Rhinolophus ferrumequinum: one gene and its partners. The protein of the gene in region 1 interacts with the protein of each later gene in a pairwise test. Links are inferred from orthologs where the notes say so. Each region holds a gene or a part of one and is shown in the gene's direction. Other genes may lie near its edges. The genes, in order: APPL2, RAB22A, SUV39H2 and CRADD.

Evidence for each region.
Region 2: the proteins of APPL2 (region 1) and RAB22A interact in binary tests that used the Homo sapiens proteins (3 or more experiments, as listed by UniProt). The two-hybrid records come from large-scale screens. The link is inferred for Rhinolophus ferrumequinum from reciprocal best matches to the Homo sapiens genes APPL2 and RAB22A.
Region 3: the proteins of APPL2 (region 1) and SUV39H2 interact in binary tests that used the Homo sapiens proteins (3 or more experiments, as listed by UniProt). The link is inferred for Rhinolophus ferrumequinum from reciprocal best matches to the Homo sapiens genes APPL2 and SUV39H2.
Region 4: the proteins of APPL2 (region 1) and CRADD interact in binary tests that used the Homo sapiens proteins (3 or more experiments, as listed by UniProt). The two-hybrid records come from large-scale screens. The link is inferred for Rhinolophus ferrumequinum from reciprocal best matches to the Homo sapiens genes APPL2 and CRADD.

What each region holds. Positions count from the first base shown.
Region 1 is NC_046293.1:14,984,261-14,991,532, forward strand, and holds the start of APPL2 (DCC-interacting protein 13-beta), read left to right. Parts: upstream 1-4,269; 5' UTR 4,270-4,477; coding exon 4,478-4,531; intron 4,532-7,272. UniProt on the Homo sapiens protein: Multifunctional adapter protein that binds to various membrane receptors, nuclear factors and signaling proteins to regulate many processes, such as cell proliferation, immune response, endosomal trafficking and cell metabolism.
Region 2 is NC_046306.1:3,908,166-3,915,055, reverse strand, and holds the start of RAB22A (ras-related protein Rab-22A), read left to right. Parts: upstream 1-3,880; 5' UTR 3,881-4,157; coding exon 4,158-4,193; intron 4,194-5,228; coding exon 5,229-5,308; intron 5,309-6,890. Other genes in the region: serine/threonine-protein phosphatase 4 regulatory subunit 1, read right to left, coding at 3,535-3,579, 3,725-3,731. UniProt on the Homo sapiens protein: Plays a role in endocytosis and intracellular protein transport. Mediates trafficking of TF from early endosomes to recycling endosomes. Required for NGF-mediated endocytosis of NTRK1, and subsequent neurite outgrowth.
Region 3 is NW_022680355.1:1,428,888-1,435,752, forward strand, and holds the start of SUV39H2 (histone-lysine N-methyltransferase SUV39H2), read left to right. Parts: upstream 1-3,859; 5' UTR 3,860-4,094; intron 4,095-6,608; exon of another isoform or gene 6,609-6,749; intron 6,750-6,865. UniProt on the Homo sapiens protein: Histone methyltransferase that specifically trimethylates 'Lys-9' of histone H3 using monomethylated H3 'Lys-9' as substrate.
Region 4 is NC_046293.1:84,803,615-84,810,541, forward strand, and holds the start of CRADD (death domain-containing protein CRADD), read left to right. Parts: upstream 1-3,904; 5' UTR 3,905-3,999; exon of another isoform or gene 4,000-4,052; intron 4,053-4,611; exon of another isoform or gene 4,612-4,800; intron 4,801-5,346; 5' UTR 5,347-5,352; coding exon 5,353-5,650; intron 5,651-6,927. UniProt on the Homo sapiens protein: Adapter protein that associates with PIDD1 and the caspase CASP2 to form the PIDDosome, a complex that activates CASP2 and triggers apoptosis.

The sequences.
Region 1 (7,272 bases):
TTTCTCAACAGAGACTTTGCATGCAGAAGGGATTGGTAGATATCCTGGAGTGTAGTAGGCACAGTCCTGGCCTTTGGAACTTTGGCTCTGTCATTTGTTTGAGCCTCAGTTGCAGCATCTGTAAAATAGGAATATTAATACTTATGCCTCATCTTCCCATGCCCAAAGATGACTTTATCATACTCTTTCCTTTATCCTCAAACTTCCAACACCCTCTCATCATTGCTTTGAGCCAATGGCCTTGCTTCCTATTTTCCTGAGAAAATAAAAGCAACAAGAACTCCTTCATCCTCCTCCAGTTAATTTACCAATCTACTGTGATGTGCATCAATCTGAATGCATTGTCCCTGCTTCTATCCCCTTCATGTGTGATTTGGAACCCACTCCTTTTAGTTTGCTCATGGACTGTGCTTCTGCAATTGTCACTTCACTCTCCTGTATCTGCATTCCCCCCCACCCACCCACTGGATCATTGTCATCAGAATACAAATAATCTAAGAAATATAGTCTCCTCACCCCTCAGTTTCTCCCAGAGACTGCAGAGTGTTTATGTTTTCTTTAAATTAACTGAAGTCAGGTTTCTTTCATTTGAAACTGAAAAACTCTGAAAACTCCAGGTTAATACGGGACGCACAGATAGGTGCCTATGGAAATAGCTCCTGCCCTTTTCCCAGTTGGCCTTCACCGGGTAAAAGGTTACAGCTCCATAGAGTTCTTCCTTTCTCTCCCCAAAGGACATGGTAACTCTAAATGGTCCATCTTTGTGTTTCCTGTTACCAACCTCCCAGCTGTCCAGGGATTTCAGGTACAGTTGGGTGGATGTTTGAATTCCACCCTCACAATAGTTTAATAGGAACAGATACTTTTTAGTGAAACTTAAAAATTTGTGCCTGCTTATATAAAAGTTCCTCTTATATGATTTTTTGCAGATTATCTGTTGAAGGGAGGATATTTGGCTTCAGAATTTAAATGAGTCATAATAAGGACAGTAAAATAAGTAGGAGACACAATGCTTAACATTAAGCAATTTATATTTATTAAATGAATGGATGATTGGGTAAACAAATAAAAGAAATGAATTACATGAACAATTTGCAAATGTGTTGTAGTCCCAGAGTTGTTTTTGTAACTTACTTGTTTTGAATTTAGGATGCATTTCCCCCACAGAAACAATGTTATAAATGATACTTAAGTGCCAAGTAATCCCACTAAGGCTGTTTAGCTTACAATGTAGCAATAAAATGTGAAAAAGTAATGGCATTGTGTAAAAACATAGTTTAAACAATTTTGAATGCTGGTGTTTGAGGAAAAATAACTTTAATTAGATGAGGTGACACATGAAAAATGTGGTGATTCCCAAAGGGACTTGTGAGACCTTCCCAGGTATCTGGAGGGCATAGTCTCCTTTTAAAATCTATTTTCAAACTAAAATGTGTTTCTTTCCCTTGGTACAATCTTATACTATTCTTATCATCAGCAGGATCATGATTGTTTTCCTAGTAGGCAACTAATAACTGTTGTGTTTTCCAGTTGGATGGAAGGATACGAACAAAGCAAGATAGAAGGTTGGGAAAATGTTCTCTTAATTGGGAAAGAGTTGACTGAGCATGTCATGAACAGCAAACATCTATTTGTTATAATGTGTCTCAGTATTCAGAATGAAAGGAAGATGACATGTTATGCTCTTGAGAGAGTTATTAAAGAGGGAGTAAGACCTACACATAGAAAGAAAAAGTGCTACAGCGTAAGATATGCTAAAAGACAATCAAGGTGCTGGCTGTTCAGAGGAGGGAGTGATCTTTGGGGCCAGCAAGGGGAAAGGAAAAGTTTGAGTATGATCTTGTGGAAGAGGATTTCAGAGAGGAGAGAGTTGGAAGAGTGTATGAGGTGAGAGTAAACTGGATAGTACTTGACAGAAAATACAGGAAAAAGAAAATACATGGTATGAACATTATTCTACCCAAGAAGAAGAAAGAATATAATGGGGAAAACGATGCTGGATGATTCCCCATAGAGGCCACACAGTGGCTCAGCAAAGATTGTGCTGGTTAGAGCCCACTGGAGAAAATGGCCTTGGAGTTTTCAAGTGATCAGAGAGGATGTGACCAGACTTTCAGAGATGTCTGCAAATCAGATTGTGACTTAATATACCTCGGTGTTTTGTAGAATACAGAATTTATATAATTTTTCATATCTTGCCTGTTGATTTTAGTGACATGTGTCCTTGTCATGCAGGGTCTCTGGTCCCGCTCCCCACACAAGAATGCATGATATGGTGAGGCCAAAAAGGAACACCAATGGAGCCATAGATAGCGGAGTCATACCACTATAGTCTCACTGGCGGCTGGGTTGTTGTTGTGCGGGAGTCCCTGCTTGCTGTTCCATTTGTTGTGCGAGGCGGCCTGCAGGGTGAATGCAATATCCTGGACACGGCCAGGCTCTCTGGACACAGCCAGGGTTTCTCAGGGCACCACCAGTACTTCTGGGCACAGCCAGACTTCCTGGGCTTCTTAGGGTACCACCAGTCTCCCTGGGCATAGCCAGAGCCTCTCAGGGCACTGCCACTCTCTGGGCACAGCCAGACTTCTGGGACTCAGCCAGGGCTCTCAGGGCACTGCCACTCTCTCTGGGCCTCTCAGGGTACTGTGCTGGAACAACAGCGACTCACAGTCAAGGTGCTTACATATTCTCATGGCGGCCGGTCGAGACACAAAAACAAACATCCGCCAGTTCTACTACATGGTGGTATGTTCCCAAGCAGTCAAGCGGTCCATTAAATTAGGAATGGAAGGCAATTCCCCACAGTCCATAGTCATTCGCCAGGGCTGTCCTGGGGTGAGGGACGACCTTGAACTCACCCTTATCTCCCAAGGAGGACTCAGCAAGCGTCCACAATGACCTTCGCTTTCTCCAGCCTGTGCTGGTTGGGGAACCATCCACGTCTTTCCACCCCTCCACGGGGTCCAGCTCTCCGGCAGCTGCTCCTCCTTATCTACCTGCGACTGAGTGTTCATACGCACAAACTGCTCCAGCGCCCTTCTGAGAGCTTTGGCCGGTACCGTACCCTGCTTGCTGCGCTATTTGTCGTGCAGGGGACCCTGCTCGCTGCGCCATGTGTTATGCAGGGTGGCATGCAGAGTGTCAGGTGGGGTCTCTGGTCCCGCTCCCCACATAAGAATGCAGGATATGGCTAGGCCAAAAAGGAACACCCACAGAGCCATAGATAGTGGAGCCATACCACTATAGTCTCACTGGAGGCTGGATCCACACGACCTGCAAATTGCTGTTCACTTCTCTGCCTGCCAACCAACTGACCGACCAACCAACGCAGCCGTGGCAGTCATATCAGTGGCCAATTGGCCAACTGGTTACAGCTGATGGTCAACTAGCCACAGCTGACAGCCATCTACTACCCGAGCCAGCACCCTTCCACGTGAGGCCGAGAGCCTGGAAACTGCTCTCTGGGACTCCGTCCCCACAGTGTCCTATTAGACAAATTCTGATTCCTAAAGAAGAAACTTCTGAAACCCCTGCCTTTGATATTAAAAAAACAAAAAGAAAAACAAAACAAAAAAACACCAAATTACACTTGCCAATCTTCCCCTATTACTTCCTGTCCTCCTTCTTCCTCTAGTTTTCATTAACTGTTTGACCCTGACCAAATCACTTCACTCTCCAGGTCCTCTTTTTACATTTCTAAGTGACAACACTGAACTAGACATCTAAACTTTCCAATTCTAAAAACTTGATTATGAAATTTTCCAAAAATGACAAAACATAGCAAACCATGAGGATGAAACCTAAGTTATATTGCTCACATCAAAGTGCTATGGTTTTAAAAATGGTTACGTCTGAATATCACAAATGATTCAGTTATCCAGTTTTTCCTAGAATTAGGTAACCTCTCTGTTCTCACGGCTGTTTCGGGGATACTGAGATTTATCTAGAAAAAGTGGTGAGGAAGTATGAGGGTTTTCCTTCCGTTAAAAAAGTGGCGAGTCACAGCAGCAAAATCTGTTCGCACCTGTCTCCTTCGATTCAAAAGTTTTCTGGGTACTCACAGAGATTAAAATCTTATCTTTCCGCCCTCAAGTTCCCCTTCTCGGGCTTTCTATGCACTGACTGGCATAAGGACCGGGGCCCCTTAACCGCGGATGTTGACACCCCAGGCGTTCAAAGAGCTGCTCGGCGGCCGGGAGGGTCTGCGGTTCCCCCCGAGCTGCGGGCGCGGCGGAAGCGGGTCGCCACACTTCCGGCGGCCATGCCGGGCGCTGGCCACACTTCCTGTTGATCCTGCTCCGCGGAGGGCAGGGCTGGGAGGAGGGCCGGCGGGCGGCGGCGGCGGCGGCCACTGGCTGGGCGTGGGCGCGCGCGGGCACTGAGCGTCTGCTGGTCGCCTGAGCCCGGAGCAGCCTCGGCGGCCGCGCCTCCTGCCCTCGGCCCTTCCATCCAGCCCTCGGCCCTGCCGCGCGGCATCATGCCCGCCGTAGACAAGCTGCTGCTGGAGGAGGCGTTGCAGGACAGCCCCCAGGTACCTCCCGCCGCTCCAGTACCCCTCGCCGGAGAGCTGAGGCCGAGGGAGCCCCTCCAACCCCTGGGTGGAGGCGGGGAGGGGGCGGGCCCGGCCCTGCGTCCTCAGCCCGGGATGATCCGGGAGTGGGCATCCCTCTGGCAAAGCTGGAGACCCCGCGGGAGTCCCCTACGGAGCCTTTTGTGTCATGACCTCTTTCCAAACTCAACTGAAACTGAGGCTGCCGGCCTGAACTTCGGCTCCTCCACTTACTAGCCGAGTGCCCTGGGCAAAGAACCTTTTTGTCATCTATAAAATAGGGATAATAGTTGTGCCAGCCTCCTGGAGTTGTTAGAATTAAATAAGGAAATGCCTGTAAATTTGCTAGCTGACAATGATACAGAGTAAGGAGTTACCGGTATTATTACTACTGCTATTACTGAGGTGAGGGAACTGGTGGATTTCGGGCCACTGTGGGAGGCAGAGCCTGGATCTCTTTCCCAGCGGTACCAGGCCTCCCTGTGGCACCGTTTTCCCATTTGTGAAGACAAAGTTAACAATACCAGCTCCATTTTTGGCACAGAAGAACTCCCATTAGCGCACGTGAGATGAGAGTCAAGTTCTTTGAGCTCTGCAGGTGGAAGTTTGTATGTAAAGATAGCAAATAAGTGCAGAATGACATTGGTTCATAATTCAGAGCACCTTTTCCCCAGGGAACGTTTGTTCTCTTCCATTAACATTTCCCCAGCTTCATATCTACTCTCCTGGTTCTGTACGCCTGGGTTATTTAAATAAGTCTCTTTATTCCCTAGTGTCTCAACTCGTGAAAAATTAGAATAGGGTTGACCTGTTTTCCTTTCACAGTTTCCCTTCTCTTTTTGGTTCCTTTCCTTTTTCTTCGCAGTGAATTGTGGTCCTGGGATGGTCCTTTGATGGGCTTACCTACAGCCCACTCTGCCTCTCTCCAGTTCAGAATAACTAGTCAAAGAGCTGTGTGCTTCGTTGTCTTGTACTCATTTCTTTGTAAGAAACTATAGGCAAGCTGTGATTTTTTTTTTTTTTAATTAGCATCTGCTGGTCTAATTGACTTTTCAAAGGCCTCTTTGAAGTCTCTAGACTTCTGGCATTTTAATGGATCCCAAATGGGACCCTTACTAGAAGTCATTCCGTCCATCCTCACTCATACTATTTAGGATCGAAGATAATACAGAATTTCTTACGACACGATTTTGAATGAGGATTTCCATTTGCTTTTAGTTGGAGAAACTGAGGTACAAAGATGTATTGCTTTCCTAACTGAACGTGGCGATGGCTGAACCAGGTTAGAGAGGTTACACTAACCCGTAAGTCACCTGAATTTTGGACTCTGACATAAGTCAATATGCATTATTTCAGAGTGGTTTACAGGATTTGCTCAGCTGTGAGGAAGTAGAAAGAGGCCTGGCAAACAAGTCAGGGGACCTGGGTCCTAATTCTAGCTCTAACACTGACTTATCATTTGGTCAGGTCACTTATCCCCATCCTATGACTGGCTCAGTTTTCTCATCTGCAGGAGAGGAACATGGAGCAGATGATCTTCAAGGGGCTTTAGAAGCTTACATTTTTATCATGTCTGCATAGTTTGTTACTCTGAGCTTGTATGTGGAAGAGGAGGTGCAGAGGCGTTGTCATTCCTCTTTAATGTTCCTCCTAAGGTGGGGAATTTGTGATTGCTTTTGAGACTCGGATGTCACCCTACTAGGGTTCTTGGTGAGGTTGTTGGATGGCAGCTAACTTTCAAGAAGGTCTTTGATAATTATTAGAGCATATTTATTTAACACTCTTGTATGGGGCATGCGCCTAATGCAGCTTTACTCCCAAGGAGACTCATGGACTTGGAACTGGAAGGAACCTAATCCAACGCCTTCATTTTGTGTATAAAGAATAAGAAGAATAGCAAACACCTATATCATACATGCATGTTATGTGCCAGGCACTGTTCTAAATGCTTTACCTAAATTATTAATTCACTTAATGCCCCCAACAATCTTTTGAAGTAGGTGCTCTGTTAAAATTACCAAGGAGCACAGAGGTTAAATAACTTGCCAGGGTTACAACTTGCCCAGGGTTATCCACTACAAAGGGGCAGAGTCAGGATTGGAACCCAGACCGTCTGTATTGTTAAAGGTAACTCAGCCACCTAACACCTGGCTTTATTGTCATCGGTGACCTAAAATGTTGTTTCACTAAAAGGGAAAAGATCCTAAGAAACTACATATTGTTTGTTTCCTCTAGTTTTATGCTAAGTATTTATGAGGGTTGCTCTGGTAACCTGGTTGCACAAGATTCATTAAATGAACACAAAGCTTTTGTATTTGAACTCAGTGACCCAGGAAGAGCTGAAGAGCAGTTTCTTGACCTTGGACACATCTGTTCATTTTCTCCTTTTCATTACTGCATGATGTTTTGTTATACGACTTGTCTATGTGCCTCCACACGTTATCTCTGGTTACCTCTGATACATGAAAGGCAGAATGTTTTAGGAATTACGATGCCTATCCCCATTGCTGTCTGGGAGCCTCTGCTCCTCACCAGGCCTGTTAGATGCTGGGAAGTAGCGACAGGTGAGCTAAGGGTGCCTGCCCTCCACTGGTTCACAGTCTGTTCCGGGAGACAGATAAGGAAAGCAGCAGTCCCAGTACAGTGTGAATACTGCTGTGATAGGAACACAAGTGCAGCTTTGAGCTGCTGCAGCTCACACTTCTTCAGGGGCTTATTCTCTT
Region 2 (6,890 bases), on another chromosome or scaffold:
AGACCCCCCTCACTTTTTTTTACCCACCACTGACATACTCATACTCTTAAATTGTAATTGGCCAAGCACACCTTACCGATAGTAATACGTCTTCAGCCTCCACGTGCCATAAGCAAAGCCAGACACTCATAGGCCTTTACGGCTTTAAGGCACTGACTCATACAGCTCCACCTTCCACAAATGGTCCACCGAGAGGACGGATATGCCAAGCTAGCCCACACTGTCCGCTCCCAAGAGAAGGAACTTAGATTGCTTCAGCAAGCTAATTCCCCACAATTAAATCTTTTCTGTGCTGTGATGGCCCCAAGACTCATAACGATTTAAAAAAACAAGGTATCCATTCATTATGGCTTCTTTTTGAAGTTAGCCAAATTTAATCAAGAATCTCAAAGTCAATCAGACAAGCCTTCTAATCCATTATTGTCACCAGTAACAACATTAATTGAACACCTAGATCATGCAGGACATGAGTTATAAAAAGGATGACCTGTGTCTCTGCCCAAAGCGACTGACAGCCTAAATGGAGAGGAGACTGCATCCTTTAGACAAAAATGCCCCAGGAAGGCCACCTCAATCAACATCGCGCCCCACCATTAGGTCAAGCATATCCGTGAGGTCTGTGTGGTGGAATACAAAGAAGAAACAGAGGTTGGTGGCTCGTTCTATCGTTTATGACTTGTGCCGTGTTTAAGTGGCTCAGTTTTATCATCTGTAAAATAGGAATAACCCCACCTACCTCACAGAGTAGCAGATGTTAACACTGAGTCAGAAAATCTTCTATGAAAGCCTAGCAATGATGATGCTGATTAAACTAAATATGAATAAACTAATAATAAAAATCACTGAATACTCATTATGCTGGACATATGTTTTATATATACTATTTCATTTAAGCCTCATATCAGTCCTATGAGGCATCTCCTATTCTCATGTCATTTTGCAGATGAAGAAAATGAACAGAGTGAGTTGGTGATGTGCCCAGGCTGACACAACTAAAGGCAGGAAGAGGGTCACAGGACCTCAGGGTTTTTGCTGTCAATCATGGCAGGATAATTACTCCCAAATACCACCACTGTAAGGGATAAAGGTGGGACCAAGGGCAGCATAAATTGTTGGGGGGGGAGGCCCCTCCTATTATGGCTATTAGATCATTTATAAAGTCGTAAGATACAGCACCCCACAGCCCAAACCCCTGCTCAAACAGGAAGCCCCAAGAAGCTCCCAGAGTTGCCCTACCCAAGGCGTAGGTATGTTTGGAGCCATAATGGTGGTTTCCTTCCTTATTGGGCAAGTTTTCAGCCATCAGCTAAAGTATATTTAGGCGATCTTTATTACAAATCTCCAACACCCAATATTTATCCAAACAGGGCCAAAGTAAAATCATAATGATATTTTCCTATATAATCTCTTACTTCCTTTTTGTACATATAATCAAAAAAGACTGAAGGAAGCTAGCCATCAGGAAAGGGGTCCAACTGCCTGCGGCCACCATGCTTTGAGAAGCCCAACCCAGCTAAGTGGAAAAGGCACCTAGAGAACTGAGGGTCTGGCCAAGAGTCCCAGGGATCTCCTGGCCCACGCCATGGAGTGAAGCCATCCTGAACCTTCTCACCTTCAACTGAAACGTCTGACGCTTCTACATCACCCCGTCAACACACAGAATTGTTAGAAATAATAAAATGATGTTAGTCTAAGCCACTGTTTTGGGGTGGTTTGGTAGATAACTGAAACAGCCAGAAATCAGCTTTTTCAGCCAGGACAAATACCAAATCTACAAGTAACAGGTACGTTAACAGCAGCTCACTGTTGTTTATCCATCGAAAAGCCACATCCTTCCATTCAAGGGTGCCTATTGGCTGACACACTCCACTCTGTAAATCAGGGCCTGCACTGTACCTGGTTCAACAGTGTTAAATAAATATGAATAATGATCACATTAATAACAGTAACAATGGCAGCTACTACAGAGGGCGCCAAAAAAATGTATACACATTTTAAGAAAGGAAAAAACTATTAAAATTGTAATAATATATACCGATAACAAAAGATGAATACAAGTAAGTGACGGGTATACATTTTTTGGCACTTCGGTATTTACCAAGTTTCTTGCATACAATGCTTCCTGCTAAACTTTTTATTAATTTCACCTTCACAAAAGCCTTTTGAGGGGCAGCTGGTTAGCTCAGTTGGTTAGAGCGCAGTGCTCACAACAACAACATTGCGGGTTCAATCCCCACATGGGCCACTGTGAGCTGCACCCTCCACAACTAGATTGAAACAACTACTTAACTTGGAGCTGATGGGTCCTGTAAAAACACAGTTAAAATAAATAAAAGTATAAAAATAAATAAATAAAAGCCTTCTGAAGTGGACCACTATTATGCCCACTTTACGCATGAGGCCACTGAGGCTCAGGAAGGTACCGTGAGCTGGCCAGGATCACAGAGCCTATACAGAATGGCACAGGACTTCACCCTCTGGCCATCCGACTTCCACAACTCCTGCTCCTAACCATCAGCTTTAAGGCGCCTTGAAGGGTCATTCTACTTCAATCAAGTTGCCATCCTCTAAAAGAGATACTGCATGTAAAGGGCTTAAAAGTATGCCTGACCTATGGTAAAGCTTTCAATACACACCAACTCTTACTATTAGGCGACTTAGAGATGGGGAAGGGAAGAGCATACTAAGACTTCAATTAATGGTAGCTATTTTGATAGTTTGTGCAGGTCTCCTTCACCAGCAAGCATCCTGGAGTATGCAAATGTTCCGTTTACAAGTCTGGTCTCCCCACGGCTGTGAGCTCCCTGAGAGTACCCCTGATTCATCAGTGTCGGTCCAGGACTCCCCATGTGACCTGCCCTAGAACAAGGAGGTGCTCAAGGAATGCCTGTTGAACGGAAAGGAAATACTTCATTCACCACAAATGCGACCGGGCATTTCCAGGGTATCTCCCCCAGACATTAGTCCTGAAAGTAATTCCAAAGAAAAGGAGAGGGGCAGGGAGGGACAGGTGAAGGAGACCCACAGCAGAAATGCAGGCGTCAATGAGCAACTTGGGAGAAGTGATGGAGCTGAGCTTGTGGCCAGGACACTTGAAAAGCCTGTGCAACTCTGTGGTGTGGCCGGCCACACGGAGAGGGGAGCTCCCAACTCCCCCCCACTCTGAAAAGTCCCAGGGAAAAAGTGGATACCGTGGGTGGAACCCCTCACCCCGCCCCCAAAGTGGCCGCGCCTCCTCCCGTCCCTGCTCCGCCGCCGCTAGAGAAGGAGGATGAGGAAGAAGAGAAAGAAAGTGACAGGAAGTCAGAAGTTTCCCAACAACAAAAATCCTTCCCCCGAGGGGAGGGCTCCCCCTTCCTCAGCCGTCCGCCCTATGAGGAGGAACCGCCACAAATGGATAAAGGCAGTTGGGGGTCCCGCTCTTCTGGTCCCAACATAGAGGTCCTGACCTGTAGCACCCCTCCGCGTTCTGTACACCTCGAATTCTGTGAGAGGTTCCCAGGGGAGGGCGGGTGCGCCCCAACTGTTACTTACAATCGTCTAAGTCATCTTGCAAGTCCACAAAGTACAGGGGGATCTCTGAAAACCAAGAGACACAAGGAGTTACGAGGGGGCTGTGCCACGGGGGCTCAAGGGCGGGTTGGGGGCCCCCGGATCTCGCTGGGTGGTCGCGGCTAAGGAGGAAGGGGCCGCCCCTGCACCCCCGGAGTCCGGGCCCACTTACCCGCCATCTTGGGATGGGCCTGGAGGCGGGGCCGACGCGAAGGGGCGGGGCATCTAATCCCGGGCCCCGCCCCGCGCCCCCGGCCCCGCCCCAGGACCCACGAGCTTCGCGGCGCCAGCTGGGCCCCGCCCTCAGAGCGAAGGTGGCTGCCGAGGTGGGCGGGGAGGTCAGGTGACCCGGCCGGCGTCCCAAGATGGCGGCGGCGGCGGCGCCCGGGAGGCCGTGGTACCGTCCCGGCTGCTGAGGTGGGCCCCGCGCGGCTGGCGGCGGACAGGCCGGAACAAGGGCCCGCAAACGGGCGACCGCCGCCTCTGCGCGCCCCGCGGCCGCAGCCGGACCGTGCAGCGTTGGCGCCGTGGAATGCTTGTGCTGGGCCTGGCCTCTCCCTCCTCAACTTAGGGCGGCGGCGGGCCCGCGCCCAGGCTGCCGGGCCATGGCGCTGAGGGAGCTCAAAGTGTGTCTGCTGGGGGTGAGTGGCGGCGGGCCGGCCGGGAGGGCCGCGGGAGGCCGGGCAGGCCGGGGAGCCAGGCGAGCCCACGTCCCGTCCGCCCCTTCCCCCAGCCTGCGTGCGGGACGCCGCCTCCCTGCCCCGGGACCCTCCGTCTAGCCCCGGTGCCGGCCTGATCACTTTACCGCACCTTCCAGGAGGGCTTGCTGGCCAGAGAGACCCTCCCCCTTTTGCCTCCTGGAACCCAAGGTCTCTACCCGCCCCCTAAAGGGAAAAGAGCCGCGTCTCTCCGTTGCATCTAGGTTAAGAGCAGCTGTTAAATAGTTTCCTACCAAGGTACTAGTTAGGAGTTGGCCAGGTCTTCCAAAGTAAAACCAATGACAGGTCATTAGGTTTTACAGGCAGCATTAGTCTCCTTTCCCTTCTGTTTGGTGTTTTTGAACTTGTGGACTACCCCTAACACTTTTTTTCGCAGAGTTCCTTTCCTGGGGGCACGTTCAGATCAGGAAGCCCCAAAGACTGACGCTTCAGTTTCCTGTCTTATCTTAGGGCATCTTTGTCATTTCAAAGCATGCTTCCTGCAGTTGCTCCCTTGCCTCACTCAGCTGCTGTTGTAAAGACTGAAGAGGATCCCAATAACTAGTCTTCCCCCTTTCCAAGTAGGGTGGGGGCTGGGATTGATCAGGGATTACTCAGAAGTAATTCAGGAGTTCATAGTTTACTTACGTAAACTAGGAGTTCGTAGTTTACATAGTTACATAGTTTGCTTATGTTAAAAAGCAAGTGAGTTTGTCACTTTTCACACTAAGCAAAAACTTGGGGTCTTTCAGAAAGTCCGAAAGTCTCTTGAAAACTGCAAAACACCTCCTGTGCAGTTTGAAATCCGCTAATTACCGCTGAATTTTTGTGCAAACCTCTTCTGTGTCCCTAAACTTCTACTAAAGTTTACCTATCTGGGAGGAGTTTTCCAAAATCCTGGACTTAGGGCACAAGGTAGTTTTCGGGGTCTGCTAACAGGTAAACTTTTTCTTACTCACCCATCTCCTTCTCTTTCAGGATACGGGTGTAGGTAAATCAAGTATTGTATGGCGGTTCGTGGAAGACAGTTTTGATCCGAACATCAACCCAACTATAGGGTAAGAGATTAAATTTATTGAGTATACATCTAAAGGTGTGCTGAAAGTACTTCTAAATAAAAAGTGTGCTGCACGGTGGGCATCACCATTGTACACTCTAGTGAATTCAGAGACAGGGGTTCCCATCATCTCAGGAAGGACTTGAAAGAGTTCAGTGAGGAGTGCTGTGTTTTAAAAGAAAATTATCTTTTGTGAGGAGTGAAAACTTCAAAATGAAAATACAAATTAAAGTTTTGGTTATTAGACTACACGTAGAATCTTCAATCTATAAATAGTAACAGCAGTTACACCTTAAAATAAGGCAGATGGAAACAGGTCTGGATACTAGTTTTTTCGGGCATGTCAACCAAAAGGTATTTAGATGATTTTAGTTCTTCCGGAAAAGTGGATGGGGCCTGAACCTTTCTCACACATTCCTGCTCTAGTAAGAAATTAATAAGTTAATGTTGAAATGTAAGATTTTTTTTCAGGTGTCTTATTCTTTGGCCAAGTGACATTGACTATAGAGAAAACTTTTCTGGGTATTTAAATATTGTAATGTTAATACTTGCTCTGCAAAAAGTTGTGTTTCATAGGTTTTAATACTATGTTAGGCTTGTAAAACTGAATAGGGTTTACGCTATTTATATTGCAAACCCCCAAACAAATGGTTTCTTCCATTTGAAGAGAAAGTCTGTCCTGCCTAAAGGAGAAATACCTTACAGTGTACACATGCATGTTTGAAGGCATGGAGATAAAACCACCACTAACTGGGTGAAATTAAAATGCCTTTGAAGGTCCTTCTAGAAAGAACTGCTGGGTACGTGCACATGTTTAAAGCATGACCTCACCTTCCTCAGGGCCTGCCTGTTGCTACCTGCATGGGAAAGTGAAGTGACAGGAAGTGATAGCAAGGAGTGCTAGTGGTGACTCAGTGAGTGACACACTTCACACTGAGTCAGAGCTGAGAAGAACTCTGCACCCAAGTGCTGTCTCCAAAAGGGGCGAGAAAAGTGAAGGGTACAGCTCTGGCGGTTGGTGTGGCCTGACGCCCTACCCTGGGCATCCCCGCCTCCTTGTTTGTCAGCTCCCCCAGTCTGACAGATGCTGGGGGGGTCCCCGCTCTCTTCACCAGGTTGTCTTCGCTCACATTTCACAGGAAAGAGGAACGCAAGACTTTCCCCTTGTTTCCTTCCGCCTTTCCTTGTTTCTTTTTCCTCAACCTCAGCTGGTGTCTTCCTCCTTCATGAGCAACTCTCCACACACCTGGGCTCTGGTGACCCCCTCTTGATCAGGTCTCCCTTTTCCTCCCCAGCCCTGCCTTCTTGTCATAGCCTGCAAACATGCTCCTATCCTGCTCCGTAAAGTGAGTACCATTCCCCAACCCGCTGCTCAAATTGTGGAGCTCTTAAAAAAGAAGTTCCTACTTCCTCAACTGCTGGACACTCCTCAAACCACCATTGTCTCGATTCCACCCCCACCATTCCACTGAAACCACCTTCCCTGGGTACGGGTTTCCATCCACCTGCCAAAACCAGTAGCTTGTTTTTCCTTGATTCACTCATTGAGTGCCTACTCTGTGCCAGATGCTAGACTGGGTGCT
Region 3 (6,865 bases), on another chromosome or scaffold:
CCATGGGAAAATGTCAGGATTTCCAAAATAACAGTGACCATGTAACATTTATAACAGTGCTATTGTTTATTTGCTTTAATTCATTATCTTATTTTTTAAATTGTGATCTCCCTACAACTCCATGAGTATTTGTATTATAGAGAGAGCACCATGGCATGTATTAATTCTGTGTTCTTGACGTAGAAATATATTCAGAAAATTAAATAATTTATCCAAGGTCTCACAGTCAATAAATAGTGAATTTTGAACTAACATCCAGGTGCTTTTCTGTAAACTTAATTTTGCTTGATTACTTACTATTCTAAGCACTTTATGTGCATTATTTCATTTAAATTCACATTTCCAAGTGTCTATCCTAGTATTCTTTGCCTCTCAAAGAAGAACATTTATTTAAATGGAAGAGGAGACATCCATGGACCTCTAGAAATCATGTTTTCAGTGGTCTTCATGAAAGAAATTGTGGGTTGCCGGCATAATTCTTTATTTTTCCCTTGACACTCATGTATGTCTCTCAATGGCTTTTGATTTCCCACTCCATTTATAGCCAGGATTTACCAAGATCCTCAAAAAAAAAAGCAGTCTTAGGACGGCTTTTACACTCTTAAAAATTATTGAAAACCTAAAGAGTTTTTGTTTATATTAGTGATATATATAGATATAGATATGTGTATGGATATAGACAGATATATACAATATATAATATATCTCCATATAGAAATTAAAACTAAGAGATCTTAACCATTTTAAATTAAAAAAACATTATGTTAACCTATATAACATTTTTATGAGAAATAAATCAGTGGCAAGAATGGTATTGTTTTCTATTTTTTCAAATCTTTGTAATATCTGGCATAAAACAGTAGCTCTATTCTGGTATCTGCTTCTTCAATCTGCAATATCCAAGTTGTGAGACTTCTGGAAAACTTCACTGTACACTGGCGAGAGGAGAGTAAAGAAGGCAGATAAGATCTTGGTCTTCTTATGAAAATAGTTTTGCATTTAGGATCCCCTGATAGGGCACAGGTCTCGGGGTCCCTGTACCCTACCTTGAGCGATGCTGCTCTAGGTAGTAGAGACACAGCAATGCATGTTGAAGAGACAAGGCCTAATCCCCTGGAATTAATGGGATTCAAGACTAGAAAAATGAAGGAAATAATTGATTTACAAAAGAGTCTAATACATTCTATAGATTTTTACTGAAACTGATCAAGACAAAAAACAGACAAGTAACTGCAGATTTTGACAAGTGCATTTAAGGGAGCAAAGAAGAGAGAATGGCAGACAGGAGGTACGTACTTTAGATAGGGTAACCAGGAGAGGCCTCTGAAGAAGTGACATTTAAGCTGAGTCCAAAGTGATAAGAAGGTAGCCACATGAAGGGGAGGAGTGCATCCTCACCTAGGAAGTAACTGTGAGTTGCCGTAAGTTACTTATTTCCTCACTTGTTTATCTGCTCCTCCCAATCGGATATAAGCTCTAGGAGGACAGGGTATTTTTCTTTCTTGTCCACTGTTATATTCCCAGCAGCTCGTACAGTGCCTGGCACATAGGAAATGAACAATAAAAGATTTTTAAATGAGCAAAAAAAAGTCCTAGAGAATAGTGAGCAAAGGAGAGAGTGGCACAGAAGGTGGCAAAACACGGTTAGGGAGGCAGAGTTCTAATCACATAAGATCATGTAGGAAAGTGGGTTTTATTCTAGGTCCACTGGGAAGTATTTCAAGCAGAAGAGGCAACCGTTCCACTTTATGTTTTAAGGTCACTTTTGCAGCTGTGTGGAAAGTGGACTGGACAGGAGCAATAGTGGGAAACCAGGTAGGCTTTTGTAGGACTCCAGTTGAGAAATGATGGCCTGTACGAAAGTAATAGAAGTAGCAATGGAGAAATGAGACAGAATCAAGGTGTATTTTGGACAAACCATTGACATGACTTGCTAATGGAATTAATTTGGAGAATGAGAAAAGGGTGACTTAAGATGACACAGATTCCCTTCTTGAACACCTATGTAGACCAGGCCTGGAGGCAAAAATCAAGGGTACTTTTATGAGTATGTTCCATTTGAGGTGTTTGTGCAACACTTAAGTGGATATGTCAACCAGGTACTGTGGATATTAAAGTTTGGAATTTAGACCAGAGGTCAGGGCTGGAGACAAAAAGTTTAAAAAGATACTTAAATCCATGGGAACTGAGTCACTTAGGAAGAGAGCATAAGAGAAATGTATCAGGGCCAATCTCTGAGGAGCCCCAGAATTTAGGTTGGATAGAGGAAAGGGAGCCAGAAAGAGGAGGGAAGAGTGGCCAGTGAGGAAGAAGGAAACCTAAGAAAGAAATTGAGTAAGAATGGATGCTCGTGAGGGTGCTGAAAGAACATATAGGAGAGGCAGTGAGTACACTGGGGACGGGAGAGGGCGACAAGCCCTAGCAAGAAGGTGAGGCTCTAAGCCTCCCCCGCTTTTCACCTTGTTATTAAGGAATGAAAGGCCCCATCCGACCCTATCACATGGGGGCCCCTTTTGTTAGGGTTCCTGTCCACTTCTCAGATCTCACTGCTCATCATTTCCTCCCATTCTAATTCCTAACTTCCTTGAATATTCCCTGCTCCCCATCCCCCGGATTTTGGTCATTTCTGTTTTCTCTGCCTAGAAAATGTCTACATTTCTATCTTTGCTAGGATTATTCCTATAGGTTATAAAATGCTCATTATAGATAATGGCTAAATATTTAAAAAATGAGAAATCAAAAAGGAAAACACAACCCAGAGAATTTATATTTATATTCCTATACATTTTTTCTTACATAGTTGAAACTCTGTATTTTACAGGTTTTTGTTTGTTTTGCTTAACATAGTAAACACTTCCCACATAATACTAATGGCTTCATAAAGATCGTTTTTAATGGCTAGGTAGTATTTCATAACGGAATCAAACAAATTAATTCCTTTAATATTCTGTTTATTTCCAATATTTCAAATTTATACATGATGCTTTGAAATATTTTTTTGTAATTTTACATAAAATTCTTTTTAAACTTGTCTAGATGCCAGACGACTTTCTACTGAAGTTTTCGCATTTACTCTACTTCTAAGATTTCTGCTTTAGATTGTTTAGAACAATCACCATGGAAGCGGTGTGAAGAATGGATGGGGGCGGGGAGAGGTTCCAGACCCGACAGAAGCTCCTGGAGTTGTCCTGCTAGAGGACCTGGGTGTCACCGCAGCCTAGCGGTGGCAAGTTGTGGCCGGATGGAGAGGCATCCATCAAGGGGCATAGCCTGGGAGCTCGTTGGAAACGCAGAACCTCGGGTTTCAGCCCAGACCTACCTAATTCAAATCTGCATTTTCACAAGATCCCCAGATGATTTCTAATGTCCATTCAAGTGTTCAAAGCACTGATCTAGACGGTCGTTACAAATTGCTGCACACTACAATCACCGGGGGAGCCGTAAAAATGCCATTGCCTACATCACACCCCATACCAATTAAATCAATCTCTCCGAGTGGGACCACATAGCAAAACCCCTCCAAGAGATCCCAACGTGCGGCCAATTTTGAGAGCCTGTGATCTAGGGGAGTAGCATGGAAGGAAACAATCGTTAGTTGGACTCAGGTAGCTGAGAAACAGGCATGGGAGGCAAAAGCACCATATAGCTCTGCTCTACGTTTTGAATTTTGCACAATGTACACGTAGCGCCGATGTAAAACAAAACGTGTGGGAAGGATTGACAGGAGTACCCTAAACCAGCCAGCCTGAGGCAGGTGGTTGCTAACCTAGTCGAGCGCCCCCTGCCGCGCCCCGCCCCCACGCTCCGCCGTGCGCCACGCCCCTGCCCGTGGATCCCGTCTCACCACTGGCCTCGCGCCGTCCCCACGCGCCGGGATGCGACGTGGGCGCAGGCGCGCTCGCTGCTGCGTCCGGGGTCTGCCTGCGGTGACGTCAGCACGCCTCGCGGTTTCTAGCCCCTCAGCCTCGGCCCCCGACTCCCGCGCGGACCGGCCAGGGGCGGGGCGTCCGGCCAGTTGAACTATCCCGACAGACCGCGGCTTTTTGAATGAAAGCTCCTCAAGATGGCGGCGGCCGGAGCCGACACGCGAGGAGGTGAGGGCTGGAGAGCGGCGCCCCTCACTACCCCCCGTTCTCCAGGCAAACTCCTCAGGCCCGGGAGGCGGGCCGGGACGCGCGGGCCAGGCAGAGCGCGACGAGGCGAGACGCCGCCTCCCACCCTGGAGACACCTGGGCCCCCAGATGCGCCCCACGGGCTTCACCCTTCTCTGTTCCCTGACCCTTCTCGCGGCTCGGCCCGCTGGCTCCCCGCATTGTACCCCTGCGCCCTGGCCTGCGCGCCGGGATCTGCCCAGCCGAGGTCCCGTGGGGCCCGCGGCCTCTCCCCGCCCAGTGCGTGTGGAGGTATTTGGGCTCCTGCCGCGGCTCCCTCTAATCCCTGGGGGGTGGCGGGGCGACTCGAGTTCCCGTGGGCGAGCGTGTGGCTTGACTCCTTTGTGGTGGTTTGAGCGGGTCGTTTAGTGTTCTGGCTGGCTTTGTAATTGGGAGCCGGGAAGAACCCTGTAGTGTAAATGTGACCTCAGTATCAGGAAAGAGAGAAATCGGGGCTGCAGTATGACCGCTAGAAAGGAGCTAAGCGAACATACATCCCAATTCGGCCGCCCTAGGAGGTTAAATTCCTTGTCGGAGAATGTCCAACTAAGTAGGTATTTGAGGATGTAGCCTCTGGCTTAGGGTGATTTTTATACCCGCCAGGAACTTGCGTGTTGGTTATGTTTGGACGCCAAAGAATTAGGTACCGAACGGGGGTGTGTTTTTGTCGCGCGCGCGCTTTGAAAGACTGGAACTTTCATTGTATTTTAGAATTTAAAGGTGTTTTCCAATACTACTACTCGCCACAAAGATTATGAACTCATCATCCACAAACTTTTCCTCCATTAGAGCTTAGTGTGAACTGTTCTGAGGTTTTTGTGGTGGTAATGAAATGTTTAATCTTGAAAATGAATTTTTCTACATTATCATAATCGAAATTGTTGCCAAGAGATTTCAGTTTCTTACGTTCCATTGTTTTTTACGCTCAATAGCATTTCCATAGGGGGTCGTGTCTTGAATCCTCTTATGACTTCAACTAGCTAAAAATGGTAGGAACAGCAGACAAACCGCCTTTGCGTGTGATCAGCGTAAGGAGGTTCACTTGACACAAAACATCCTTAAGATTTTTAATGGAAAGGATTTAAGGGGGTCATTTCTCCTACCCCGAAACCACCACTACAAAACAAGCAACCTCTCCTCCCAATTTTTTTTTTGGGGGGAAATATCTTGGTCTAGAATTATGAGTGCTTTGTAGGAAGTGGGGATGGGTGGAAATCATGCTTCCAGGGTTTGGACGATGAAGTCTCAGAGCTGAGGGTGAGGAATGGATATATAGTAAGAGCAGCTGTGTTTTCTGTAAATTACCTCAAAACACAAGGTTATCACAACTGCCTTGAAGAGCTGCCAAGTAAAGCTTGAGTTTCCTGATAGATTTTGTTTGGTAACCCCAATTGACTCCAACCCTCACATTTTTTTTCAGTGAATCTGAAACCCAGAACTCTGAAAACCTCACTGAAATCACGTAGCTTAGGTGGCCTACCAAAGGCTAGGGCAGAGGATCTCTGATCCTCTCTAGTGCTTACCATAACACTCGCCATAAAACCAAGTTTGTTACAGATTTCTAAACATCACTTTGTGTTAGCATGTTTTACATGCAGTATGGTAGCATACTGTTTGCAGAAATTTGAGGGTAAAATCGGCAGCAGTTCCTGGCTTCTTCTGTAAGTTTGATTATGAGTGTGTCTTCAAGCTTGGTATATGGGTCAAGTAAATTGAATACTCTGTTTTGTAATTCTTGGCTTTAAAAACAGTACAGGAAATGAGTATTACAAAAATCAATATACTCTCCATTATATTATTATGACGCTTGGGTTTATTCACTTTGATTCATTGCAGCCTGGGCAAAATAATAAGTGGAGTTAAAATTTCCTGCAACACTGCAAAGTGGGAAAAGTAGGCCATGTGATGTATGAGTATGTGACTATAGAAGTATATTTCAGTTAGATTTCAGTTCTTATTTAAGAGAATGGGGAAAAGTTACCTGTTTAACAAATTATAAGATTGTTTTAAAATACATTTAAGATGCGTTTCTAACAATGAGCATGTCCTGGAGATCTACATTTTATTAAAATAGCAAATTATATTCTATGTAGAATATAATGGAGAAGTCAAAAATATTCTCTTTTGACCTTTGCAACTATATGTAATCTTAAACCTTACAGACATGAACAGTTTGTTCAGATGGCTCACTAGAAATTAATTGGCATCAGTTAAACACAGTAGGATAGAAACCCAGGAGAAAACCCAAGAAGACCAATTTACCTAAATAGTTCTTTAATGCTTAACTTTTTCTTGAAGACACAGAAATGGTTTCTTGTCATATGAATTTTTAGTCCTATAAAATTGCCAGTAGAATGGTGGGGATATAGAGGTCTTAAATTTTTTCCTTTTCCTTTTTTGTTTTAATTTAGTAGCTATTTCATTAGTAAAGAATTCTATTTTCTTATTGTAGCTTGGTGTGTGCCTTGCCTAGTTTCACTTGATACTCTTCAGGAATTATGTAGAAAAGAAAAGCTCACATGTAAATCGATTGGAATCACCAAAAGGAATCTAAACAATTATGAGGTGGAATACTTGTGTGACTACAAGGTAGTAAAGGTAAGGCAAATATCTAGCCCCTTAAAAGAGACCTAATCAGACTTCAGTATTTCATATTTCTGTAAGATAAAAAGAACCTTAAAAGTAAGCAAAGCTCTTCTTAATGTGTAAAACTC
Region 4 (6,927 bases), about 70 Mb from region 1:
CAAACTGTCTTCCAAAGTAGCTGTGCCATTTCACATTCCCACCAGCAATGAATAAGAGTTTCTATTGCTTCGTGTCCTCACCAACCTTTGGTGTTGGAGTTCTTGATTTTGGCCATTCTAATAGGTGTATTTCCTTCTTTTTTAAGGATGATATATATAATTTAAAAAGAAGGAAATAACCCCCACCCTTTTATTTATATATATATATATATATATATATATATATATATATATACACACATATGTGTATATATATATATATATATATATATATATATATATAGAGAGAGAGAGAGAGAGAGAGAGAGAGAGAGAGAGTATCCCTTCATCATCGATGGACAATTAGGTTGCCCGTTGTGTATAATGCTGCAATGAACATGGGTGTGCAGATATCTCTTTGAGATACTGATTTCATTTTCTTTGTATCTATACCCATAAGTTGATCATATGATAGTGCTATTTTTAATTTTTTGAGGAATCTCCATATTGCTTTATCAACAGAATTGTTTGACTTTGTTTTTGCTCAGGAGCTTAAGAGTTGTTTTATTTAGTTTCTAAACTTATGGGATTTATGGAAGCTATCCTTTTATTAAAATTTCTGATTTTGTTGTAAAATGGTAGAGTCCATAGGTTGTATGCTGTTGACATTTTTTTAAAATTTATTGAAGTTTCTTTGTGACTTAATTCACGACCTATTTCTGTGACTATTTCAAGTATGCTTGAAAAGAATCTGTTTTTCTCCATGACTTAATTTCCACATCTATGAAACAGAAAGACCCCAAAATATCCAACTCCTTTGATTTTTGTTTTGAAGGTTGCAAAACCAAAGACTAAATGGAAAGACAGCAAAACACTACACTCATTCTTTCTGCTTTTTCACTCTTTTGCACACTCACAATGGGTATATTTTGATGCAAGTAAACATGGTAAGGGAGAGATCAAAAGGAAAATATCTGTCTTCCTGAAAAGGGATTGGTTACCACTGGGTAACGTGCTTAATCCTGTGTGGGGGCATAACTCCAGCCTAGAGAGAGGCACTGGACAGAGTGGAAGAGTAACCCCCTGCGATAGTGATTCTGCTCTATGTTAGATTCCTTCAGGGCTTGCTGACTTTACATATTTATACAGTAAAAATGAACCTTTTGTGTGCTGCTCAGAAGTATCATTGTATGCTAGGGTGGGTGGTAGTCCTCCAACAGGCTGACTGACAATATTTGGCTAGTCAGTCGGATAGCTAGCCTGGTCACTTAGGAGGCAGCATGGATGCTCATCTAAATTTGCCATAGGAAGAGGACTTTGATGGTGAAGGGCTTTACCTTATCGATTTAATCAGATCTTTAATGCCAACCCCTCAGCTCCTGCACTAACTCTTCTCATGCTGTCTCCCGCTCTCTTTTCTTCTGTTCATGAACTCTCATGGAACTCTCTGTTGGCTCCTCACCTACCCCTGGATGTCATCAACATCACTGTCTCCTTCTGGCTTCCAGGAGATCACAAACCTTTCCAAATACAAGTCATCAAGAAGTGTTTTAAACTAGGTAGTGCTATATGGGTTTTTCTTGTGCTATTTGTTTAACTTTACTATATGTTTGAAAATTATCAAAGTTTACAGTTGGAAAAACTACACATGTTTTTTTCTACCCCAAAAGTCAGTGACCTCAGTTGTTGGCAGTATCTGTACTTTATCTGGATGAAGAGCAAGAATATTGCTAACACCTGCCTATATATAGAAGGGAAATCTTGTCCAATTCCAGAACAAATGAAGGGGGAGAGAGGAAGAGCATACCTGGAACTTAAAAGTATCATCAGTGGGAGGAGGCACAGAATGATTTGCCAATATTTTGGCTGTCATTAGAAGAACAGACTCTTCACCACACAGGGCTGTGTGGTGTACAGTATACTGGAAATAGAATGAAACCAGAGAGCCCTGGTTAGAATTCAGGTTTTGCTGCATATTACCTGTGAGATTTTGGCTAAGACACTTGGCCACTTTTATCCACAGTCTTCACACATGTAAAATGCTAGTTATAATAATAATATTTGCCACCCATACAAAATATTGTCACTACTGGTATAGTAAAATGGTAGATTGGTATAATAACACTTTAAACTTGTTACAAAAATTAGAAGGTTTTGAGGAGTGAGATTTAGAATTACTCCCCATTGATTTGCTTACAAAGATATTTTCATCTTCCATTAGAGGTATTTGTTGTAAAAACCTCTATGGAAATAAGGACACTTAAGGTTTGTTTGTTTGTTTGTTTGTTACTGTCAAGTAATTTTTAGTACATCTATGACTGTCTGTATATATCATCCAATTGACTTAGAAGTGAATCAATAAATGCATTTATCGACTGCCTCATTTCTTAAAGGAATTTGAGGAAGGACCCTCAATTTGATACTCTTGTACCTGTCTATATTTGGGTCATGCACTTCTCTTGCCTTCCAAATTAAAAATATGGTCGACTCAGCAGATCTGTCCCCAATATCAGTCACTCTCTCTTTTTAGCATATCTTTCTGTGCTTCAGAAGCTGGAAAACTCCAAATTACATGTCCCAGACACTCTTGATGCTAATGTTCTGAATGCAAATTAAGTTTCACCAGTGGCATGCATCAGAATAAGATTTGCACGGTCTGTTTTGATGCTGTTGGCAAATACAGCTGTGGAGACCTTGGTTTTTCTGCAGTTGTGTTCCGTGTCCAGTCCTTGTTGTGTCAGTGTTGAGAAGACTAGAACTATGGAGTAGTGGCGGTTCCTGACTCCATCTTCCTAATTGTGGCCTTGAGCCAGTTTGTCAGTGTTGTTGATGGAGTCATGCTTGGATGCCCAGACCTTCTCCAGCCTTTCCAAAGATTGTGAATGTCTCCAATTCTAATGACAAATACCTTTCTGTCTAGAGTAGCTAGCTGATTGCTGCAACTGAATCCTGAATAACTGACTTGTAAACACTTTGTGGGCAGGAATCTTATTATATAAAGAAATTGAAGCAGGGCCTGGTTGGGAACCCCGTAGGAGAGGCCTCGCTGCATCCCCAGACTCACCTTTCCTTAACCTAAAGCCTAGTAATAAATTACCCCCTGCAGCTTGAGTCCAGAATGTCCCATCCCAGTTCCCTGTTTTAGAAAATTACCCTGAAGCTTATAATTAATACCCCATGCTTACTGATCACAATCTTTATGGCCTAGCATTCTTTCCAGGTTACTGTCATCACTGCTCCTGGGTTGATGAGCACGTGGGAAAGCCACATTGCCAGAGGGAAGGCTCCATGCAGACCCCTGGAACTATCATGGAGGAATGCCCAGATTTTCCCTTAAACATCCCAGGCTGGTCTGAGAATGTTAAGGTAGTTTTTAGAGGTGCTAACTCGCTGCCTTCTCAGACCACCGGTGCTCTGATAACAAACGTTTATTCTATGACCCAACTCCTGTGTCGGTTTATTGGCTGAGCGCAGGCAGCATGAGCCCTGGACTCCTTTGGCCTCCAGTTTCAAAATCACCTTGTATTTTATGTGGAGGGAAACAGATGGTAAATAAATGAGTAGGTAAAAGTTTTGGTAAGATGGTGATACCTACTACAGATAAAAATAAAGTTGGAAGATGGGATGCCAGTGCAGGAGATGGCTGTTGCAATTTTAAATAGAATGGTCAGGGAAGGCCTTGCTGTTAAGTTGACTTTTCAGACCTATTATTTCAATTGTGTACTAGGCCGTGATGGAGTTACTGTGTTAAAATGCAATTATCCGATTACTTTTTCATTAGATAACCCCCTAAGTGATGCTACTATTTTTCAGCTCCAGGTGGCTAGATTGTTTACCCACAGCAAATATGGCGGAAAAGGCTTCACTCGGACACTTGGCCCCAAATAAAGATGGTTACAGAACTTCCTGTGTTTGCCCTTAACAAAAATGGCGACAACACTTCCTGTTCCCGGCTTTCGCCTTTAACAAAGATGGTGCTTGTGGTATAGGTTCCCTAACAGTCTGGATTCCGGTTGCAGGGTATTTTTGTTTTTTTTTTTGTTTTTTTTTGGTTAAGATACGTGTTTGCAGACGTAAGTAACAGGAAACCAGAAGCTCCGTATTCATCTTTTCTCGAAGGCCCCGCGCCGTCGCGTCTGCGGCCTGTGCCGGGCGTGGCTCCCCCGCACCCCTATCCTGCTCGGGACCTCCCGAGCTGGGCCGGGTTGGGGTGGCGGTGGGGGTGCCCGAGGCCCGCTCTCCCCCCCGGTCCGCTCTGAAGGTCATTCCCAGCACCCTCTTTTAAGCGGGTCAGGTTGCCGCGAAAATCGCTTAGTTCTTCCTGTTCGTAATATTACAGGGCTTCAGCTGGAGAGGCAGGAAATACAAAGAAGTTCCAAACGGGCTCTGGCTTCCAAAAGTGCACACCCTGCTCCTCCCCTACACCTGCCAGACTTCACTGAGGGCTGCTGGGAGGGGAGGGGAGGGGAGGGGAGGCCTGGGGTGGGCCGGGCTTGCACTCTCCGGGGTGTGTGGAAGCCCCATCGGCCTCCCCTACCTCCCCTCCTCGCCCCTCGTTTCCCCTCATAGTCTGCACACAACCTCCCCTCAGCTCACTGGTTCAGTGGTCTTGCCAATATGCCTTCAAATCGTGCGTGGCTACTGACCGGGACTGGCGTGTGGACATTTTTCTTTCAAAGAAAAAGAAATCCATTAAAGGTCCCATACATGTGTAGCCACCAGTGTAGTGATGGAGATCCTGCATTCTTACAGAGAAGGGATGGAGTCTGACTAAAAGGTTTACAGTAGACTGGGCACAGACACTTCAGTGTTTTTTTGAAGGTGATGGCGTGTAGGCCTTTTCTCTTAGGGGAAAAGATCCTTCAATGTATTGGTATCCGCTGGTTTCTGCCCACCATGCCCATTGCTGCGGAGGTTCTGCAAATGCGCATGTTCAGAAGCGCACCTGCGTGTATACTGGCAGTTTCTGCTGTGATTGGGCAACTGATGAAGGCAGTGTTATAATTAAAAACCCAGTATTTTTGCTCAAGTATCTTAAAATGAAATGTTGCTCTGTAATCCTCGGATGAAAGTTGCTTCTTAAGCAGGGTCTCTGACCCACTTTCCCTCCAAATCTCTTTATAGAACAAGATAATTGAGCTAAGATCCCATTGTGTGGAAGAGCAAAAACAGAAAAGATGATTCATGTTCAGTGTTGTTATGTTCAGAAACATTTGAAATTAACTTGGCTGGGCTAAACACCATGGCCTGGCAGTCGGCTGAAGTTCAAAGCTATCCATGACCTTAAGGAGCTTGCATCGTAGGACCCTATCTTTAGGGGCTCATCAGTATTCCTGTAATCTGAGCTACAATTTTGTCTCTTTCCAGGGGGAAATGGAGGCTAGAGACAAGCAAGTGCTTCGTTCTCTTCGCCTGGACCTGGGTGCAGAGGTACTGGTGGACGGACTGGTTCTTCAGTATCTTTACCAAGAAGGGGTCTTGACTGAAAACCATGTTCAAGAAATCAAAGCTCAAGCCACAGGCCTCCGGAAAACAATGCTGCTGCTGGATATCCTACCTTCCAGAGGTCCTAAGGCATTTGATGCATTCCTAGATTCCCTGCAGGAATTTCCCTGGGTCAGGGAGAAGCTGGAGAAGGCAAGAGAAGAAGCCATAACCGAGCTGCCTGCAGGTAGGCCCCCAAGGAGATCACTTCAAGCCAGCTCCAAAATGGTTGCACTATGGCCTTTGGATTGGAAATTAGGGTTTTAGGCTGGGAGGGGATCGGCAGTTCCTGAAAGTGGATAAGGAGTTTGGGCGGAAGGCACATGGCATTAGAGGGACGGGATGAGGAGATGGAATTAGGAAGTGCAGGGAAGGAAGGAAGGAAGAATGCAGCATGATTGAGAGGGTGAGGAGGGAGGTCACAGGGTACGTTTACAAATGCTTCCAGGGAAATTTGGCAAGTCTCTTGGGAGGCATGTTCTCCTTGGAGAGCCAGGTCAGACCTCAGCCCTTGGCATCAGGAGCCATTTGGAAAGTGCAGATGGGAAAGCAGGCATTAGGCCTTCTGATGACTGCTTCACGGGGTGCCAGAGCTGCTGGCTGGGAAAGGTCAGGTTTGTGAAGGACAGAGCAGCCTTTAGGAAGGCATGCCTTGCACCTGTTCCTCGGGCTGTCCTACGTGGCCAAAGGGGATTGTTTGGAAGGCTGGCTGACTTTGTTTTTAAAGGTTATTGATTTAACGTTGTCCTTTTTAGTTTGGTTTTATTCAGACACCCAGAGTACTTAATTTTGTAAGGACAGTAGTTTGTGGAGGGTCTCATTCTAATTTTAAGGAAAGTTGCAAGCTATGGAAAAGAGAAACGGTCCTCGTGCCATTAACTTGGCTGATAGCAGGAGGATGTGATACGGAATATTTGTTCCCTCTTAACAGCTCCCATGACTTACACTTTTCACAAAGACTGAGCAGTATAGAACTGAACTGACAAAAAATTTGAAAGTTGACAAGAGTTAGGAAGTCAACATTCTCTGGCGTTTTGATAGCAGTGATAGTTAGAACAACTTCAGGTCAGTGGTCCCCAGACTGTGTTGTTCCTGTTTTTTAAATAACAGTATAACTGGTTAAAAAGCAAATACCAGTAATAAAAGACCACTTTTATTATTTTGGCCTCATGGACCTCATATTCTGAATGATTTTCCAGACCACATGTATTAAGTACTCATGATTAATTCTTCTATTTTTATTAATGACTGAATATCTAATCAGCATGAGATAATCTGTTAACTTAGAAAGGCCTAGTTAAATCCCAGTGGAAAAAGAAAACAATGTTTTAATTTACTAGCATGGCCAAATTACAGGCAAATGTATGTTTTGGGCTTTTTGAAGTACTGAAAATAGCTGGCCTTTTGAGAACCACTGGAGTTCTCAGGTTTGATTGTCCTTACAAAATTAGATAGGTGTGTGAA